Alligator mississippiensis: one gene and its partner. The protein of the gene in region 1 binds, or shares a complex with, the protein of each later gene. Links are inferred from orthologs where the notes say so. Each region holds a gene or a part of one and is shown in the gene's direction. Other genes may lie near its edges. The genes, in order: MAPK8IP1 and MAPK10.

Region 1 (9,594 bases):
TATTAGTATGGTGATCATAGATTGCCACATCCCTTGTCATAACGGAAAAGTGGACACCCTATGGGACCTACAGGTCTGTCAATTTTAAGGCAAGCAAAAGGAATGCATATAGTCCACAATTGACATGTGGAACTTAAAGCCACAAGATAATTGAGCCAAAGAAGGTACTTTAAAACAAAATGAGAGGTCGGTGTGGATATTGTTAACATCTACTAAATCAAAGGACTATTGAGGGATGGAAGGGAGTGAGAAATGTCTACTACTTCCTGTTCCAGACCATGGACCAAATAACATATGGCCTGGACTTGGGATGTGTTGAAGTGATTTGATGTAGCGATGCTGGACATGGGAGGAAACCTGTTACATACAGCACACTTCAGAATTGTTCCTTGTGACAGAAAGGCTTCCAAGACAGATATAAGCACTGTCATATAGGTGTCTGTAGCAGAAGAGAAAACTTGGATGGCCTGCTGTCCAGACTCAGTATGGGAATTCTAATAGTCCTAACAAGAGGGCTGTGTATCATAACTGTGAAACTAAAATGCTACAATCTGCCAAGTAGCTGGCTGGATTTCCATTTCAGCACTGCGGAGAGCAGCACACATTCTGTTGTACTAATTTAGCAAGAGAGCCAGCAAGTGAATGCAGAAGGTATAATGCTCATGGACTAGTTTGAGGATGAGTGCAGGGCTATAGCAACAAAGAATGACTTTGGGTTCCAGTCACAAGTATTATTTGGAGACCATTTTTAAAAGTATTTATCACTCTAGTTCAGGGGTTCAACTGTCCCAGATGCCTGAAGGTGATATGGTACACGGAGTTGTCTTTTAATCTCTAAAAGCATGCAGGGCTTCTCTTGTCAAGAGATGAAGTGGGAACTTCATGATTTTATTGAGAAGGGATAAATCTCATCTACTGAGAACATGCTTAATCTGTGGCTTGAGTTCCAACAATGAGAAGCATGTAGTGCCTCCACTCATCTGTGCACAGGCACATCCCAGGTAAACTAGAGCATGTATCCCATGTAGCTTGATCAATTATGTTTTAGTTGAACAATCTCATATGGGACAGGCTGAAGAAGAGAAGATTGAGGGGGGATTTGATAGCAGCCTTTAACTATCTGAAGGGTGATTACAATGAGGATGGAGCTAGACTGTTCTCAGTGGTGGCAGATGGCAGAACAAGGAGCAAGGGTCTCAAGCTGCAGTAAGGGAAGCTTAGGCTGGATATTAGGAAAAACTCTCTCACTAGAAGGATGGTGAAGCACTGGAACAGCAGTGGTGGAATCTCCATTCTTGGGGGTTTTTAAGGCCCAGCTCAACAAAGCCTTGGCTGGGATGATCTAGTTGGGGATGGTCCTACTTTGAGCAGGAGGTTGGAGTAGATGATCTCCTGAGGTCCCTTCCAACCAATGTTACCTCTAAAGTGTAATGATCCATGAGCACACAGCTTTGGTCTGTGAGCGCACCACTTCAGTCAGTTCCTGTTAACAGTGTAACAAACATGACCACTTGAATAGTAATTGAGTTCTGCTTAAACACTCTTACGTATTGTTTGGATAAGCCTGGTGGGGCTCTGCAATGTGCCTCAAGGACAGCAGCAAGGTATTGTGTTTACAGGGTATTATATATTCATGAACAGATTTAAGAGTTAAAATTGTCAGTTGTCACAAACAGCTGGAGGGTTAGGGTCTGATTCCCCTCACACAAAATCAGATACCAGCATAACCTCAGTACCTGAGTGTGTATTGATGAAGAAACTCCTACAAGTACTTGCATATTAACTTAAATAGCTTCACCCAAACATTGTGCCAAAGAAAAGTAAAATAAAGAAAGCAGTAAAAGAGTTCTGTGCACCACTAAAAGTCATGTGAACTGCTTACATGCCATGGTTTCCTTCTATGGTGTTTATAGGCCCATATTTTCTTTTCATCTATGCCTTTGCAAATCAGCAGTGACTTAATTGAAAAATAGAAACTTACAGTGGTGTAGAACTTGTATGAGAGGGAAATCACATTCAGGGCCAGCCAACAATCTTTGGGGACCTGCTACAGGATGTAGTTCTGGGGCCTCCTGATCCCTCGCTGGGGCCGGGAACTCCTCCCGGCGCTCAGCCGGTAATTAAATGAATGTCTCAACACACTGGATGCAGCGGAAGAGGTGGCATATTCCGACCACAACAAGGTAGAAAAAACAGACCAGTTCCCTGGTGCCACGAGGAGGCACTCTGCCCCCTCCCCCCCTCGCCTCGGGGAGGAGCCACTGTCTGAGGCATGAGGAGCTTACCTCTGGTAAACGTCCTGTGCCACCAGGCTCCTGATGCCTCTGCTGTACTCTGTGCCCAGGTCCTCTCCGGGTGGGTACGCAGCAAGATTTTAAATTGTTTGCAGCCGTGCATGTGCACACCTTGGAAGGAACCTTGCTTCCAACCCTAATTTTCTTTGATAATGTATACAAGTATTTATATTGCATGTAGTCTTGAGTCAGTGCATATCACCCATTCCTATTGTAATCTCAGCTGTAGACCAAACGGATCCAAAATATTAACCTAGCCCTTTATTGGAAATAGGTAAAGGACCACTCTAAACAGGGAGTTTTAAGAGAAAGTCTTTAAAGGTTCTGAGTTCCTGTGGAAGCCAATGTAGACATAAGCACTTGACTGCTGATAGAGCAACAGGGCCCAGAACTGGTGGCAGTTACCTTGAAAAAGAAAAGTCTAATTTCCTAAGTATTGTAGCCTCTCCATGTAAAATAGGATCCAAACTTCTACTTGACTTAACTGTGCTAATATAAGACAAGGTAGATTTGTGCCTTATAAACTAAGCTAGATATATATAGCTTAGTATATCAAGGTGCAAATCTACCCTGCCTGTATATATAATTGGCCAGATATAAATATGTAACGCAAGCTTTCATGGGCCTGAGCTCATTTTAATCAGATGCTGTGAAAGGATGTGCATGAAGCTTTGTATAAGGAAGAAAAACTGGACTACAAAAGCAGAAGAGGGAAGAGCAGTGCTGGAAGAGGCAAATGTGCAGATAGTAAACCCATGGAAACAAAGGAATTGCAAAATGTAATACAGGTAACAGGTTAAGAATGCACAGTTCCTTTTTAAACTATGCTTAAGCAATCTAGTGTGGGGGTGACTTCCTGTTCTGCAGTTTCCCAGTCAAATAGTTTTTAAAAGTTTGCTCTCTGAGACCAGCCACCCTCAGGTGAATGATGGAGTGTCCAGGGAGACTCACGTATTCTGCCATAAGCAGGCTTATGAAAATTGCATTGCTTCATGGTGAGTTCCCAGCTTGTTTCATCCCACTAGAGCTCGCCCACTAGTGGGCATATTTAGCCAACATGTAATTTAGCCTCCATGAACAGCTACTGATGCATATCCATGCCCAAACCTAGATCCCCCAATAGGTGGTGACCTAAGGAAATGTGCTCTTCTATGTACATGGGGCAAAATATGGGATACCACTATACCCAGACTACTTATAGAAATATAAAAACAGACATTGTGGTGGCCCAGCATAAGCAAAGGCACAGGCAGCTATGGCTGGCAGTGCTTCACTTGTTAAAGTCCAGCCTGTGTGGCCTAGGTTCCAAGGACAGCTTCAAAACAAAGGGATCACCTGATCTGATACCTAAATTGGTAGGGTTGGGTCAATGAACCATTGTTCCCAAGAGAACTCAAGCATGGTCACACTGATAGACCTGCTTAAACGAAGGATGGAAGCCCTACTTGTTCCCAACAGTGGAGCCCATAGCCAAGCTCTACTACTGTTGAATCACACTTCCATGAACTAGGGTTTGCCCCTCAAGGTCAGGGGCAATGCATAGGGGGTGCACGCAGGTGCATGTGCACCCCCTGAGTGTGGCAGCACACCCCCTACAGAAAGGCTGCCGGCAGCATCTGTGGGTGGTTGCTGACCCCTGGTCAGCACCCCCTATGCGTGCCCCCCCCCCCCTCCCCTGCTGCCACCAGCACTGGGGGTGTCTACGGGAGCCCTCACTTACCACTGCCCTGCTTCTGCCACAATGCTTCTGTTGCCGCCATGCCCCCCCCCCCCCCCCCCCCCAGCCGCTGGGGGCACACATCGTTCATGCTCAAAGTGGTATTTGTTTGAGGCTCACTTCTCTAACTGGAAGGAGGTGCTCTGGAGAGAGAAAACAATACAGGTTTCCTTTACTTTATGCTGTACATGTGTTCCTGGAAGATGGCGCATAATTCAAATTCACATAAAGGGAGCCCACTTTACAATGTAACAAATAGGCATATGTTCCAAGACCTTGACTGTACTGACCCCCAGACCCATTTCTACCACTTTTCCAAGACAATTGTGGTATTCACCAACAGCAAACAGTACATGCAAGCACAGGGTGGTGGTGAATGTTACCATAATGGGGATGGCAAATACAGAAACACTTATCTCAGACAAGGAGTGAGGAGCACAGATCCACACAAGAGATTATATTTTGGTGCACATCACTCCCACAATGCACCGCACAAAGCAGCTGACTTCGGGCTTCCACCACACCAATCGCATAAGAGTGAAGTTACCTCTCACATAACAATTTTTTTGGTATAAAAAGGGGTCATTGCATAAGAGCGAATTTGCACATACAGAACCCACATAAAGTGAAAAAAACCTGTATCTCCATACACTAGAGGCACAAGGGTCTTGAAGAAACCTGTTGCAGAAGATGCTGGTGCCTGGGATCCGGCCTAGATGGACGGGGCTTGGTCCCAAGCAGCAGTGAATGGTTTCTCTTTGAAACTGGTCTGACAGCTGGACTCTGCCCCTCCCAGCTCTGTTGCCTCGACTGGGAAGGAGGAACGAATGCGGAGCTGGACGGCGGGGCTTGCACTCTACCCTAGGAATTAAATGGCCTTATGAAAAGCTGGGCTGCTGCTGCCAGGGGGGCTGCTTCCTGGGGGGGGACTGAACTGGTGACTTGAATGCCCTGCAGCTGGCAGAGACCCAGCTGGGCCCCTTCCCCCAGCCAGCCCTGGGCTGCAGCCTTCTGCGGGGGCCCCCCTTGGTTGCTTGGCCCATGATCTGCACCAGCTGCCCAGGCCCCTTCAGTTCCCCCAGCCCCTCTCAGCAGGGCCTCCCTGGTGGGCACCTTGGGGTGGGATCTCCAAACAAGGAAATGCCCGGCTGGCGGGCAAGGAGCTCTCCTGGGGGCACCCAGTGGTGCCTTGGGCATTAGGGCCCCTCAGCCGCCGCTCCCCCGCCCCTTCACCTGCTGCAGCTTCCTCCCCACCCCCCCAGCGGGGCGGGGCCGCTGCATCCAGCTGTGGGGGCCGCTGGCTTGCAGCTGGCGCCCTCAGGGGCGTCCTCGGCGCCGGCTTCCAGCTGCGCCCCCACCCCTGCACCCCCACCCCAGTGGATCCGTGCCCGGCTGCCGGGCTCCCCCTCCTCTCCCCTCCCTGCCTGCCAGCATCAGCAGCATCCATCTCCCTCCCTGCTCCGCCCGCATGGAGAGGGAGAATGGCGGAGAGAGAGAAAGGAGCCACGTCCCCCGCCGGATCGTCTCCCTTCCTGGGGCTGCACCTCGCCTCGCCTCCCAATTTCAGGTACCGGAGCCGCCTCCCTGCCCGGAGCCCCGGGTCTGGCCCCGGAGGGAGATGGGGGAAGGGAGATCTCTTTGATCCGCTCTGCTCCCCCTACATCCCTCCGCCTCCCGCAGAGCTGGGCTGGGCACGGGGTGAAGCCCAGCTCCCTTCTCCCCCACCCCCTACTCCTGCCCGGGGAAGAGCTAGCTGGGGCTGGTCCTGCTCTGAGCAGGGGGTTTGGTTGGGTGACCTCCTGCAGTCCCTTCTGCCCTCATTTTCTACCATGCTAAGATGCCAGCAGGTGTTTGCACCCCCTGCCCCCTCGCTCTTTACTTCTCTCCCAGGCTGTGCCCCTGCCGGGGCAAGGGGGCAGGCCGCGGGATGCCTCCCCAGGAGACATGCGGAGGCTGCCCCACTGAGGGGGTGGGGGCAGGGGAGAACAATGCCCACCTGGCGCTGGCAGGGGTGTGGTCAACCCTCCCAGTAGGATCAGGGCATTAATGACCCCTCTCCCTCAACCTAGGGTCTCCCCAGCGGGAGCTGCCTGCCCTGGAACAGGTGGTGTCTGTCAAACCATTCTCTGTTATCTAGGGAGGCAAGAGGAGGAGGGGGACAGGTGTCTGGAGAGCCAGAGATGGGCTTTGATCACTCTGAGCAGCACCTTGCCACAGGAGGGTTGGCATTTAGCTATAGGGTCAGACCCCCCCCCCCCCCATGGGATTTCTCCTACCAGCTTTGTGGAAGGAGGGGGAACATGGAAGAGCTCTCTCCTGGGTGGGGCTGAGCAACTCTCAGCATCCCACAGGTGCACATGTGTGCACACACTCATGCACAGCCTTCCTCACCCCAGGCCCTCTCCCTCAAAATCTACACCTAGGGCTGCCCCCAGATACCCCATGCATGCACCCTTTCTATGCCTACTTCCATATCCTCACACCTCCCTCACCCATCATGTCCACATCACCACAGCTGCCTTACCTATCTCACCTCCCTGTACATCTCCTATCCCCCCACAAGAAAACCTTGAACTCCCCATACCTCCTTCAGCCTCCTCTTACTTCCAACCCCAGCCTCCATATCCCCATACATGAGAAGCCTTCCTCCATACTCCCACTTCCTTCTCTGAGAAGCCTTCCTCCCCATAAAAATACAGCCACCCACTCATCTTCCAGAATCACCTCCAGAATGCATCCTCTCAGGCAAACCCCCATCTCCCAAACCCTGTATATGATCTCCCAGAGGCAGAGCCCTGCCCTAGGAGACCCGAAACAAACCCTGGAGGATGCAACAGATTTACAATCGATCCTCTCAGAAACATCCCATCGATTTGGATCACGGAGCTTTGGAATCTGAATGCCGTGGGACTATTCACAATGAGGCCTGCCAGCCACAGGCAGAGGCAAGAGCAGAGGGGAACTGATGTGCCTCTAGTTGCCTAGATGAGAGATGGGCACAAGTGACAGTATGAGGGTCAGGATGCTGCCTGGTGACCCTCTCAAAGCAGGGTTAGGCATGATTTGCATATTAGGAATGGGGCCATGGCCTCACTCTTTGTCATATAATGACTGTGTCCTTATTTTTAACTGTGGTTTCAGGGTCTGGATGTTATTTGTCTCCTAAAATTCTGAGCAATCATTGAGTGTTGGGAATTGTGGGGCTGTGTGACTGAAACTGCTTCAGGTCTGGAGGGAAGGCAAGTTCTGTACTGAGATTCCAGGCAGGGTAAAGATAGGTGCCCCACATTTGCAGCTACAGGTAAATGTGTTATATTTGATTCTATAGGAGTCCAGGGTCTGAGGTTTGGGGCAGGAGATAATCTGGCATCCTCTTTTTTGAGAGAAAATTGGTATGTGGTCTGGGCTTTGTGGGGCTGCCTCTAGGGGACTTGCTCCTCTGCAGACTGTCTGTCTGTTGTTAGGTTCTGGAGGCTCCTGTGCTGAATAGCCTTGGGGAGTCAGCAGACAGCAGCCTCCTCGCTGCCTTTCAGTTCCAGCACTGCCTGTTTGATTTGTTTGAAGCTATTGCAACATGGCTGGATAAACCCTGCAAATTAAGCAATTAAAGCTGCCTCTGGAAATGTCCACTATGGAGAAACGGCTCGGCCACAGAGCTGGGTAATATGAGCCCAGCAGCAGAGCTCAGTTCAGCCTGGTCCCGTGACAGTCTTGGGCTTGCTGTGTGCTGCTGTCCTAGATACAGCATTTGTCTCCTGGGCTCTTTCTTCTCAAATGTAAACAGCAACACCCAGGGAAGGATGAGCAAGGTGCCAGCACCTTCTGTTGTCCAGATCCTTCGAAATGGAGTCCAAATTCTGACATCCTGAGCTCAGAAAAAGGCTTTACTGATAAAAGGAGCTGGGAATGGTTATGCCTTGTGAAGAGAGGTGTCCCAGTTCTGAAATGTATTTAGGAGAGTATGGGGGGGCTTTACAGTTAAGATGAAACATTCCTAAGTTTGGGGTTGTGTTTTTGAGATTGAAGAAACAATTCTGGGGTTTCTGAGCTTTGGGAAGAATTTTGAGATCTCAAATAATATTTAGTAGTCAGAGTGGCCCCCTGTCTCCCCCCCCATTTTGTTACAAATTACGTTATCTGACAGGTGCCAGCACTAAGGGACCCTGAGAGCTGCATGTAAGGAGAGAGTCCGAATGATAGCTGCCTTTTGATTCATCTAGCCTTGCTGTAGCCAACTCAGCTCCAGCACCTGTGAGAAGAAATCTCTCTTTTAGGGTTCCCATTGTAGAGAGGGCAGCACTGATTTCAGTGAGAGATAAAGAGTCAGGCCAAGGTATGAAATGAAATGCTGTGTGAACCGTGGGAGCATATTAGTGTTGCGCTTCTAGCAGAAGGTGAATCCAGTGCCACTGCTGTGCCCACTTTTGAATAGATTCCCACCAGTGTTTCTGTAGGTGAAAGGTACCTGGTGCCCCGCTTAGATCTAGAAGGGAGCCAGTTCTTCCAGATGACCTCAAATGGACAAGTTGGGAAGAAGGGGTCAGAGGTTCTGGTAAGGTATCACCTAATATGATGATCTGGCATCACCTGTGAGGGGACTGAGGAGCAAAGGACTGTGGTCTAAGCCCCTTATGTAAAGAGGCCCTTGGGTGGGGAGGTCATCTTCACTATGCGTCTTTGAGGGGAATTCTACAAGTCAGAGATGGAAAAGGCACCATAGGTCCCATTCACTTTTCCATTTGTCTCATGGGCCTGAGGCAGGATTGGTCCCTTCAATCTATTTCCTGTGGATTTGTCCAGTCAACTTTTTCTGGGAGACAGTCTCCAGATGATGCCAACTACCAGTGTCTTTTTCTGGGAGACAATTTCACAGCCTCCCACACAGCCTGCCCGGAAGCTTTTCTTGAGTTTAGACTAAATTTACCTTGCATCATTCCAGCCTATTATTAATTCTACCTCTTGGAAACAATGGAAAACTGCAGGCTTGGGTCTCCCAGAAAGGTGGATGGTCTTAAAGGGAAGGCTCCTCTCCCCTTTCTCACCCAAAGTGAATGCAATGAGGACATCAGCTTAAGCTTCTTTGGGTATAAACCAGCATCACTAAATGAAGTAGATCAGCTGTGCCAGGATATATCTCAGCATGAATCCCTGGGCATGCCTCTGCAACAGGGGGAAATCTGGGGCTTTCCCATTCTGCAGAGATGTTTCTCAAGTCAGATTCCCTGCATGCAAATCTCTGCAAACAGGGAAACCCTGGGTTTCATGGATAGGAGAGGCATGCCCCATGTCAGGGCCTGGCAGAACAATATGTGACGAGGGAGTGCCCTGCTGGGGGATTTCCAGGGTCCACCTGTGCAAATGGGGGAAACCAGGCAGGCACTCCTGGGACTCTAGGGACCCAACCCTATATGCCCTGGGAATGGGCATCTGTCATCTGCCACCACTGAGAACAGTCTAGCTCCATCCTCTTTTGAATGCCCCTTCAGGTAATTGAAGGCTATAATATCCCCTCAGTCTTCTCTTCTCCAGACTAAATAAGTCCAGTTCCCTCAGCCTCTCCTCAGAAATCAAGTCCCCCAGCCC
Region 2 (9,975 bases), about 77 Mb from region 1:
ATGGTGTAGTTCAGTGAGGTCCCAGGTCCTCTCCACTCTGATAGGAGATAGTGAGAGCTGAGGACATTCAGTACTTCACAGAATTGGGTCTTAAATTCTTTTTATAAACAGCTGCCAGACACATTACATTTTCTTGTGATTTGGAAATTATGCATCACTATGAAGAATATATAGAGGGAAAAGGAAACAAACAGCTGCACATTTGTGTAGTAAGGCACTTTCTTTTCTGGAAAAAAGCAAGGAAATAAAAATCACAAAGATGCCTTTGAGAGAGAGAGAGAGAGAGAGAGATTTTTAAATGAATGCTCACTCCTCTCCTTTTCTATGTAAGCACACAGGATTCATATATAACCAACCACCTTAAGAAATATGTTCTAACCTGCACCGTAGCAGGAAATATGGAGTAAATAATTAAGGCTGCCACCACAAAAATCATACCACAGCAGGAAAGGTATAAAGAATCCTCCTGGAAGAAAAACCATTAAATCACACAGTGAGAAATTAGGAAAAAAAAAAAAAACTGAAAGCAAGTCTTCATAAATAGTGACATAGGAAAGTAAAAACCACTTGGAAAATTAAAGGCCTGAGTCTTGAAGAGAGGGAGCATTTCAACATGTCTGTCAACTGGTAGCGATTTTGAAACTAAGTTCTCCCCTGATATTGCTTGCTGACATTTTTTTAACAAATGTCATCACAGAATTTATGTAGCATGCACATTGATCAACAACTTTACTTTATCATGTCACTTTGGCATATATTGCTGACTATTTGTGTAAATGAATACTAGCAACTTTCCATCATGCAGGGAACCAGGGGCATTGTATTGATAAAAGGAAAAGTAAGTGACATAATTATTAAAGTAATGCTTCACTCATACCATTTACTTGTGGTTTTATTTATTTAGCTCTAATGCAGGGCCTGGCTCTGCCATCTTTGCTTAAGCTGAGCTGCATTCTGCTAATAGTCTAGTTCAGGGGTAGCCAACCAACAGCACATGTGTCCCAAGTGGTGCGGGCAACCTTTTTTTTTTGTTTGGCATGTGGAAGACTGGGAAAAGGACATTCAGCACAATGGCATATATGACAGGGAGCAGAAAGCAGAGCACCAGATCAGGCAGGCAAAGGGGATCAGAGTGGCACTCAGGGAGGCTGCAAGGCAAATTTGTGGCACCCCTGCCAAAAAAGGTTGGTCCATTTGGTCCAGTTAAGTCAGTTTAGGTCCTTGCAGAACAAGGACTGTTCAGCATTAAGTGAAAACAGCAGAACAAAGCCCACAGGAAAAATGTTGTAGATTCAATAATAGTACTAGTTTAAAATATCAGATGTGTTTTACTATGGAAGCAAATTAAGTGTCAGAACATCCATATCTAGAATACTGGTGTTCTAGCTCCTTTTTTACATTTTCCTGTTTTCTCTTTCTTTCATTCTTCTTTTTTATAAGTTATTCTTTCCTCTTATTGTAGCTTCCCTGAGCCTTTGTTGGGAAGAGAAGCATATAAATTGAATGAATGAAGAAACAAATAAATAAATATGGACTATCCTTTCCCATATGGATGTCTGCATATATACTTGCCCTGATTTTAGTTACACAAAGAATTGGCACCTTTAAACATGGAAGAACAGCACTGCCATTCCTCATTATGCTTATATAAGCTTCACAGTGTTAGGTGTTTTTTGAAAACTCCAGACATGAGAATCAACAGCTCTAGTTCCTGCATGAAAATCTATTTTTGTTTAAAAAAAAAAAAAAAAAAGTGGGGAGAGGAAGCTCTAGTCCTCCTCCTCCAAGATTGTGGAGAAAAGCTTGAAAACATGAAGCAAGTGTACCCTAAAGCCTCGTACATCAGAGGGCAGTTAAAAAAGCCCCCCACCAATACATTACTACTTTTTTTTTAATTTTTTGTTTTTAACTCAATATCATGATATTTGGAGGCCTTGCTCATGACTTTTATATGCAGGGAATTAGTAAGATTGAAAACATTCCTTAGTGCAATTATAAACGTTAGCTATTACTGACTTATCTGAAAACAGTCCTTGCCAAAAGGTGACTGCCTTAGAGTCTCAGCTTTAGGAAACAATATTGTATTCTATAAATCTAAAAGCATAATAATATATAATCTCCCATTATGGTAGATACTGCTAGTTAGGGTTATGCAAAGCTTCGGTCCCTGATTTGATTTGGCCTGATTTGGTGGCCGAATCTCTGAATCTGAATTGAATCCGGAGACCCTTTTAATCTCTCCGAATCGAACTGGAACCCTCCAAATCAATTCGGAAAGATTCAGCAATTTGGACATAGACACAGTTTTAAATGTATTTTTTCCACATATCACAAGGAACCAGGCGGCTTGTGAATGCTGGGGTAGATGGAGTGCGCTTGGCAGCAGACCCAGAAGTGGACCAGAAGCACTTCTGGGTCACCAGGGAGTGTGCTGGGGGCTCCCCCACACCCTCCCCAGCTCAGTGACTGGTGCCTCCTGGGTCTGGGGGGGCACCTGGAGTCCCCTCGCAGCCAATCGCAGAGCCAGAAAGGCATGGAGGGACCCCACAGCATGCTCCCCAGCGGACCTGGTTCACCGCCGAGCACATGGAGACTGCCGCCCCCACCCCGGCGCGCTCCTGTGGGACACTTCATCTGCCCTAGCATTGCAGCGTTCACAAGCTGCACCTGGTACCTTGAGGTATGTAGAAAAAACATCTAAAGCTGTGTCTATGGCTGAATTGCCTATTCTCTGAATCAGCATCTGAATCTTCAGATTCAGAATTGGCCGAATCGAATCAGGACAGTGGTCCAAATCGAGAAATTGAATTACAGTCCTCAATTTTGGGCTGAATCTGAATTGAATATGGCCCATTTCACCACCCTTACTGCTAGTGTTTTGGTGGTGGAACAGGTTTGGCAGCATCATTAATTTAGGGTAATTGCTGGATTTAAATGTTCAGGTCTAAATACAAAACAATGTGGAATCCACTTAGTTTGGAACTTGGAATAATAGAAAGTTAGGGTTGGAAGGGACCCCAGGAGGTCATCTAGTCTAACCACCTGCTCAGAGCAGGACCATCTGCAACTAGATCATTCCAGCCAAAGCTTTGTGTAATCGGGTTTTGAAAACCTCTAAGGATGGAGCTTCCACCACCTCTCTAGGTAACCTGTTCCAGTATCTTACTACCCTCCCAGTGAGAAAATTCTTAATATCTAACCTAAACTTCCCTTGCTGAAATTAGAGAAGTTGCTCAGCCCATAAACAAAAATTGGAAAGATTCATGAGCTATGGTGAGGTGTTGGGTCAGGACCTTGGTATGTCAGTGCCTCAGTAAGAGGCATGGTTGATGCTCACATAGACATTTCGGAGCTGTCTTTTATTTAGCTACTGTATCTCATGACAGATGACACAGCATGGGTTTCAGCTGCTGAGCAAGTGCCCAGAGTTTTTGTACAGCCCATGCTGCTATGGTTTTGTAGCTATTGGTACCCAAGCTACATAAAATATAAACTAGCCCCGGCATTTCTACATCAGGCGAATGTGCCTCTGATTCCTGTACAGATGTACATTGGGATTCCCTCTTTTCTTTGTCAGCTGGCAAAAGAGGAGGCAAAGGGGGTTACAGTTTTCATACATATAGCATGTAAAAAATCCCAAACTTTATTAAAAGAATGTCATTTAAGTTTCAAAGGGCATGTCTACATGTCACCCTATGGAAACATAGCACCATGCTATTTCACCATACAATGCACTATGACAACGTTGCGATCACATGGGTCTACATATGATCACCTACTATGTCTCCATAGCAGTGCACTCCCCACTTACAGCGTGCTGCTACGGCCACGTAGTGGGAAAATTGAAGCATGTGCCACCCATATGGCACAGTACCTGCCTGTACGGGTGCCATGCTTTAGTAGTTTTTGAAAGGAAGCACTAAAGCACAGCAATGTTGCCATATAGCGACATGTAGATGTGTCCAGTCTAGCACTCAAGTTTGATAATTTGGCCAACCTTATTTCCACCTTCTTCCTCTCTCCTGCCTTAACTATCCTGTGGATTGAATGAAACAAAGGCCCTGTAAGACCTATATAAGCACATAATTACAGGCTATGTTATGGAAAAATTAATACAGGCAACTGTAAATGTGGCATTGGCTAACTTCTGAATGCTTAAGTATACAGCCTTACCTGCTTAGTTTTATTTTTTGTATGAAATTTCTTATGTTTTATTAAATATGTCCTGCTATTTGTCTTTTGACAATCATCCCATCATGCATCACTAGCATGGCTTGCACCTTGAAAGTGCAGCACAACAACCCAGCATTTTGTTGTTTGAGCTACAGGGCAAACTCTGTCAGCTGGATAACAGAAGAAGGCTCTAGTTTCCAGTATCAGGATGTGGCCATGAGCTAGATGTAAGGGTGTAGAGTTAGTGGGAGCCCATTGTGGCCTGCCCATTGCTCACTATTCCCTAGAGTGATGGATAGGATGCTGGAACCATCTCAAAAAGGAATAGCTTGGAGGGCATGGGTGCATTTCAACCTGGCTGTTTGGACCTTTTATCATAGCAGAAGCAGGTCAAGTGTTTCCAGAGTGGTGTGGCTCATTCACTTGAGGTACATCTAATGTTTTCCTAAAAATACAAAATTCCAAGTGGATCTAAGACAGTAAAAGATCTGTGAACTGTATCCCACCAGTTATAACCAGGCATACCAAAATTCTGGAATTTCATGCATCTCTAATCTTAATATCCTGGCATCAGTACCTTCCTAAGAAGTAGTTTATAAGGATAAGATTAAACAATTCCAAATTTTATAAATTGAGACAGATCAATTAATCTCTCCCTCATCTAAAAAAGCCTAAGGGTAATAATAAGATTTCCAAATCATCTGAGGAAGAACAGTAAATTCACATTTGCTCTACATCTTAATAAAATTAGCTTATTGAATAGCATTATAAATATCAGACAAATGTAGAGATATCACAAATCAGTCACCATATTTTAATAGGTATTAAAAATGCAGCTGTGAAGTCTCACGTTTAAATCAGCTTTTCTTAAGACAGAATTTTATTTCAAAGCCCACTGTCTTAAATGGTTGGTTGTTTCTTTCACATAAATCTGAGAATTTGAGATTACTGAAAAAGTCCTAATTTCTTTCCTTATTGTATATTTCTGGGATTTTTACACATAACTGTCTTAGCCATGGAAAATCATTATTTGATGGCAGACTGTCACAGAGCACTGAGGTGCCTTGCTCCCATAGAGGGGAAAACTGCTAGGGAAGAAGCCCTAGAAGGGAATAAGGAGCCCAGCTGTGGGTTGCCAGGGCAACCAGAGAAGGTCAGCTGACCCTAAGGGGCAGGGCCTGGCTCTTATAAAGCCCAGGAGCTGAGGCCAGAGGCAGTTCCCTGCCAGCAGCCAGGAGCTCTCTAAGCCATGATGCGAGGAGAAGCCTAACTGCAGGTACAGCTAATGGCAGCTCTAAGAGGCTTGAGCAAAGTTGTTATAGACAGGCGGCTTATGTTTAAGTTATAGCCAGGAGGCTCGAGTTTGTGTTGCTGTTTGTTACACTGGTGGTGTGGGTGAGGCTATAAGGGGATGGAGGAGGCCTCATAGAGGACTCACAGTGGAGTGTGAGGACCCCGGCGCCAGCGGGTACAGCACACGGGGTGCATAGACCCCAGCCCGAGAGAGGGACGTTTGAGAAGCCCCAGGGCGGGTGTGGTGAGCCCCTGAGAGGGGGCAGCTTTACTGGGAAGCCCAAGGGTGGGCACGGAAAGCCCCAGGAGGGGGCAGCATTGTAGAAAGGCCCCAGAAAAGAGGGCACAGAGTGAGAGGGGGCCGGAGGGAGCCCTAGCACCAGAGGGAGTGTGCAGTAAAGGAAGGAAGGCCCAGGGAGAACAGTAAGGGGCCAAATAGCAAGAGAACTGAGACAACAGCGATTCCCATCAGCGAGGTGTGGACTGCGGTGTAGGGGAGGAAATGGAGCCACAGATAGCGCCCCCTAGCAGCGGGGCAGTATAAGGGCAGCCTCCCGCTAATTAATAGTAATTAATTAAGATCAAGGCATGGCAGGCAAGTAGGCGGGCGGTTGCCCCAGAGACAGGTGTGTGGGCCACATTAAGGGCGGCCCAGAGCAGATACCTGTCACAGACATGGGGCATGTCTCTACATGCAGGGGCATGAGTTGCCCCTGCACAAATAGCAGTGACACCTTTTTGTGCTTCTGCTTTGTGCCCCTGGGCATGCTCCAGCATGTGCCAAAGTGTCCCGGGGCAGGGATGGGGGGAAGTGTGTGCTTAGGGGAACCTAGGGCAAGCACCTGTGAAGGTTCCAGCAGCTTTACCTGGGATCATGGGGGCCTCCTGGGGCAGCAGTGGTGCCAATCCTGCCTCACAGAGGCAGGTGCTGCTGTGTGCACCATACCACATCACTTTTTTTTTTTGGGGGCAATTTTGTTTGTTTGTTTGTTTGTTTATTTTTTGACACCAGGATCTTTGAGGCACTGTAAACTGCATGTGCATGCTCATCTGGATGCACCCATGGAGTTTAGCTGTGAAATTTGTAAGGAAGTAATGATACAAAATGGTGACAGATGACAGAACAAGGAGCAATGGTCTCAAGTTGCAGTAAGGGAAGTTTAGGTTAGATATTAGGAAGAACCTTCTCACTAGGAGGATAGTAAAACACTAGACTAGGTTACCCAGAGAGGCTGTGGACTCTCCATCCTTGGAGGTTTTTAAAACCTAGCTAGACAAAGCTTTGGCTGGAATGATCTGGTTGCAGATGGTCCTGCTTTGAGCAGGGGGTTGGACTAGATGACCTCCTGAGATCCCTTCCAACCCTAATTTTCTATGAAAATACTTGGATGGTAAATAAGTATTTGATGGTATAATATTCTGCCAAAAAACCCAACCTTCATAGAAAGGATATGTGGCATTGTTGATAAATAGTTTATACAAAAGTATAGTGGTTACAGTGTTTTTATTAGAGATGATGAACATGGGAGAAATCCCCAGATTTGAATGCTTCTTCCCTCCTTCTCTTGCCTTTTCCATGGAAATCTCAAAAATTAATATTTTCCAAGTAGTTCAAATTAAGTATAATATGTGAGGGTTTTTTTTATAACATGCACGTGCGCACACACACAATAAGAAATGCATGTGATTTATAAGATATATTTCTTATCTTGTGTTTGTGTAATATATATTATACACACATGCATATATGAAAAGTTAATATTAAGAGTATAATGGAGAAAAAACAAACAATTTTCAAGTTTTTATTGTCTTGTCTTTACATTCAGGCTCTCTAGCTGATGTTGAGTGCTCTCCTATATTTTGATCTGTGTTCTACTTCTCATTTTATCTTGTATTATTACATATTTTGGTTATCTCTTGCAAGCCATCCTGAAGTGATGCATTTCTTTGCAGATTTTTATTTGTTGTTCTTGAAACTTGTGGAGCTATCTTCCAAGACTAATGAACTGAGGTTGTCTGGGGTCTATTTTTTTTTTTTTAAATCAGCGTGCACTTTCAAAGCTTTGTTTGTATATAATTGTATTAGCAACTAAAATATCTCTATATGTAAGGGTACCTAGAAATGTATTCATAGTGATTCACTTGGTTCTAAAACCAAGAAGTCAGGGTTTTTTAAATAGATAATTAGGATTGGAAGGGACTTCAGGAGGTCATCTAGTCCAACCCCCTGCTCAAACCAGGAGTATCCCCAACTAGATCATCCCAGCCAAGGCTATGTCAAGCCAGGTTTTAAAAATCTCCAAGAATGGAGATTCCACAACTGATCTGGGTAATCTGTTCCATGCTTTACTACCCTCCCAGTGAGAAACATTTTCCTAATATCTAACCTAAACTTCCCTTACTGCATCTTGAGACCATTGCTTCTTGTTCTCTCATCTGCCAGCACCTGAGAACAGTCTAGCTCCATCTTCTTTAGAATCACCCTTCAGGTAGTTTGAAGGTTGATATTAAATCCCACCTCAAACTTCTCCTTTTTAGATTAAATAAGCATAGTGACCTCAGCCTCTTCTCAGAATGGTTAGACTCCAGCCCCCCAACCATTTTTGTTGCCCTCCACTGAACTCTCCAATTAGTCCACATCCTTTCTGTAGGGGAGCAGGGGGGCCAAAACTGGATACAGTACTCCAGATGGTCCTCACCAGTGCTGAATACAGGGGGGGGGGGGGGGGGAGATCACTTCCCTGAATCTACTGGCAATGCTCCTACCAATGCATCCCAGTATGTCATTAGCCTTCTTTGCAACAAGGACACACTTTTGGCTCATATTCAGCTTACTGATCACTGTAACCCCCAGGTCTTTTTCTGCAGAGCTGCTGCCCAGCCAGTTTGTTCACAGTCTGTACCAGTATATGGGATTGTTCAGTCCTAAGTGCAAGACTTTGCACTTGTCCTTATTGAACTTAATGAGATTTCTATTGGTCCAATCCTCCACTTTGTTGAGGTCTCTCTGAATCCTAGCCCTGCTGTCCACGGGATCTACTACTCCCCTTAGCTTGGTATCATCCACAAACTTGCTGAGGGTGCACTCCATCCCGTCTTCCAGACTGATGAAGATATTTAACAAGACAGGACCCAGGAACAACCCCTGGGCCACTCCACTTGATACTGGCCAACAGCTAGACATTGAGCTACTGATTACTACTATCCAAGTCTGACAATCCAGTGAGCTTTCTGTCCACTATACAGTCTATTCATCCAGTCTGTACTTCCGTAGCTTATTTTTGAGAATGTTGTGGGAGACTATCAAAAGCCTTGCTAGAGTCAAGGTATATCACATCCACTGCTCTCCCTGCATCCACAGTGCCAATCATCTCATCATACATGGCAATCAGGTTGGTCAGGCATGACTTGCCCTTGGTAACTGTTCCTAGTCTTCTTCTCAGTGCTCAGCAATGAATGTTTGGGTGTTAAATTTACAATTCCACCTGATGCTGGTAAATATTTCATAACCTATAGCAGTCAAGATGTGTACTGTCCACTAGTGACTGTGGTTAAATGCTATCCACTCAGAGGGTAGGCAGGGTGTTTATGTTGGTGCCATACTATGTGGATGTAGTGCTGTGCAAGTGTAAACCAAGTGGTATGAACTCACATTTGTGATCATATGTGTAGCAATAAAATTAAAACTGCTTGGGAAACCAGTTGCTGCACAGAAAATCCAAGGTTTTGAAGCTAGAGTGAGAAAAGGAATGGGCGTGGCCTATAGTCAAAAAGAAGGAAAGAGGTCAGTGCAAAGAGACAAGGGGCTTGAAGCTGAGGAAGAAAGGGGACAAGCTAAGAGTTTGAAAAAGGAGTAAGAAATGGCAAACCGAGTAGAAGAAAGTGAAGGAAACAATCTAGTTTCACAGGCCTCTAACCTCTTTTTACCCTCTACAAATTCTTAATAACAAAATGAGGAAAACTACTAATCCATGATCAGGAGAAGAGGCATGCATTTCCAAAACAACTAGGAAGAGCAGCCACCTTGGATGTTAGGGTAGCTTACTCTCTCCTTCACTTACTGTCTGTAATCTCTGAAATTAAGAGGGGAGTGAGGCATTTAAAGTCTATATTGTAGGACTTGCTGCATCAGGAAGTAGTTCTGATTCTCCTATCTTTCTTATGGGTTATTGCTAATAAAGTGCTTCCCTCTGTTACGAGTACGTGAGGACTCTCCATGGCACTGCCATGCTCACTTATTCAATCTTCCCGAGGTTCCCTACCCAGCCAAGAAATGTAATTTACTGTGCAATGAACTAGATGTAATGCGGTGCTATGGAATGTCAAACAAAGGACGATTAGCTTTGCGATTAAGGTACTCAAGAAGGATTCAGGAGATGTGGGCTCAATTTCTGGCTTTGCAACAGACTTTCAGTATTGATCTATGAAACTGAAATTTGCCATCTACCAGGACTGTGCCATTGGCAAGGCATTGGCAATGCCTTTGTCTCCTTTGCTCATTACTTGTCA

Evidence for each region.
Region 2: the proteins of MAPK8IP1 (region 1) and MAPK10 are in contact, whole or in part, in a crystal structure (PDB 3PTG), measured with the Homo sapiens proteins. The link is inferred for Alligator mississippiensis from reciprocal best matches to the Homo sapiens genes MAPK8IP1 and MAPK10. Residues at the interface, in NP_005447.1 of Homo sapiens: Pro158, Lys159, Arg160, Pro161, Thr162, Thr163, Leu164, Asn165, Leu166; in NP_620448.1 of Homo sapiens: Asp150, Ala151, Gln155, Val156, Met159, Leu161, Glu164, Arg165, Tyr168, Leu169, Tyr171, Val197, Lys198, Ser199, Asp200, Cys201, Trp362, Asp364, Glu367.

Annotation. Positions count from the first base shown.
Region 1 is NC_081825.1:226,477,076-226,486,669, forward strand, and holds the start of MAPK8IP1 (C-Jun-amino-terminal kinase-interacting protein 1), read left to right. Parts: upstream 1-5,305; 5' UTR 5,306-5,492; coding exon 5,493-5,578; intron 5,579-9,594. UniProt on the Homo sapiens protein: The JNK-interacting protein (JIP) group of scaffold proteins selectively mediates JNK signaling by aggregating specific components of the MAPK cascade to form a functional JNK signaling module. Required for JNK activation in response to excitotoxic stress.
Region 2 is NC_081825.1:149,718,335-149,728,309, reverse strand, and holds the start of MAPK10 (mitogen-activated protein kinase 10), read left to right. Parts: upstream 1-5,411; 5' UTR 5,412-5,449; intron 5,450-9,975. UniProt on the Homo sapiens protein: Serine/threonine-protein kinase involved in various processes such as neuronal proliferation, differentiation, migration and programmed cell death.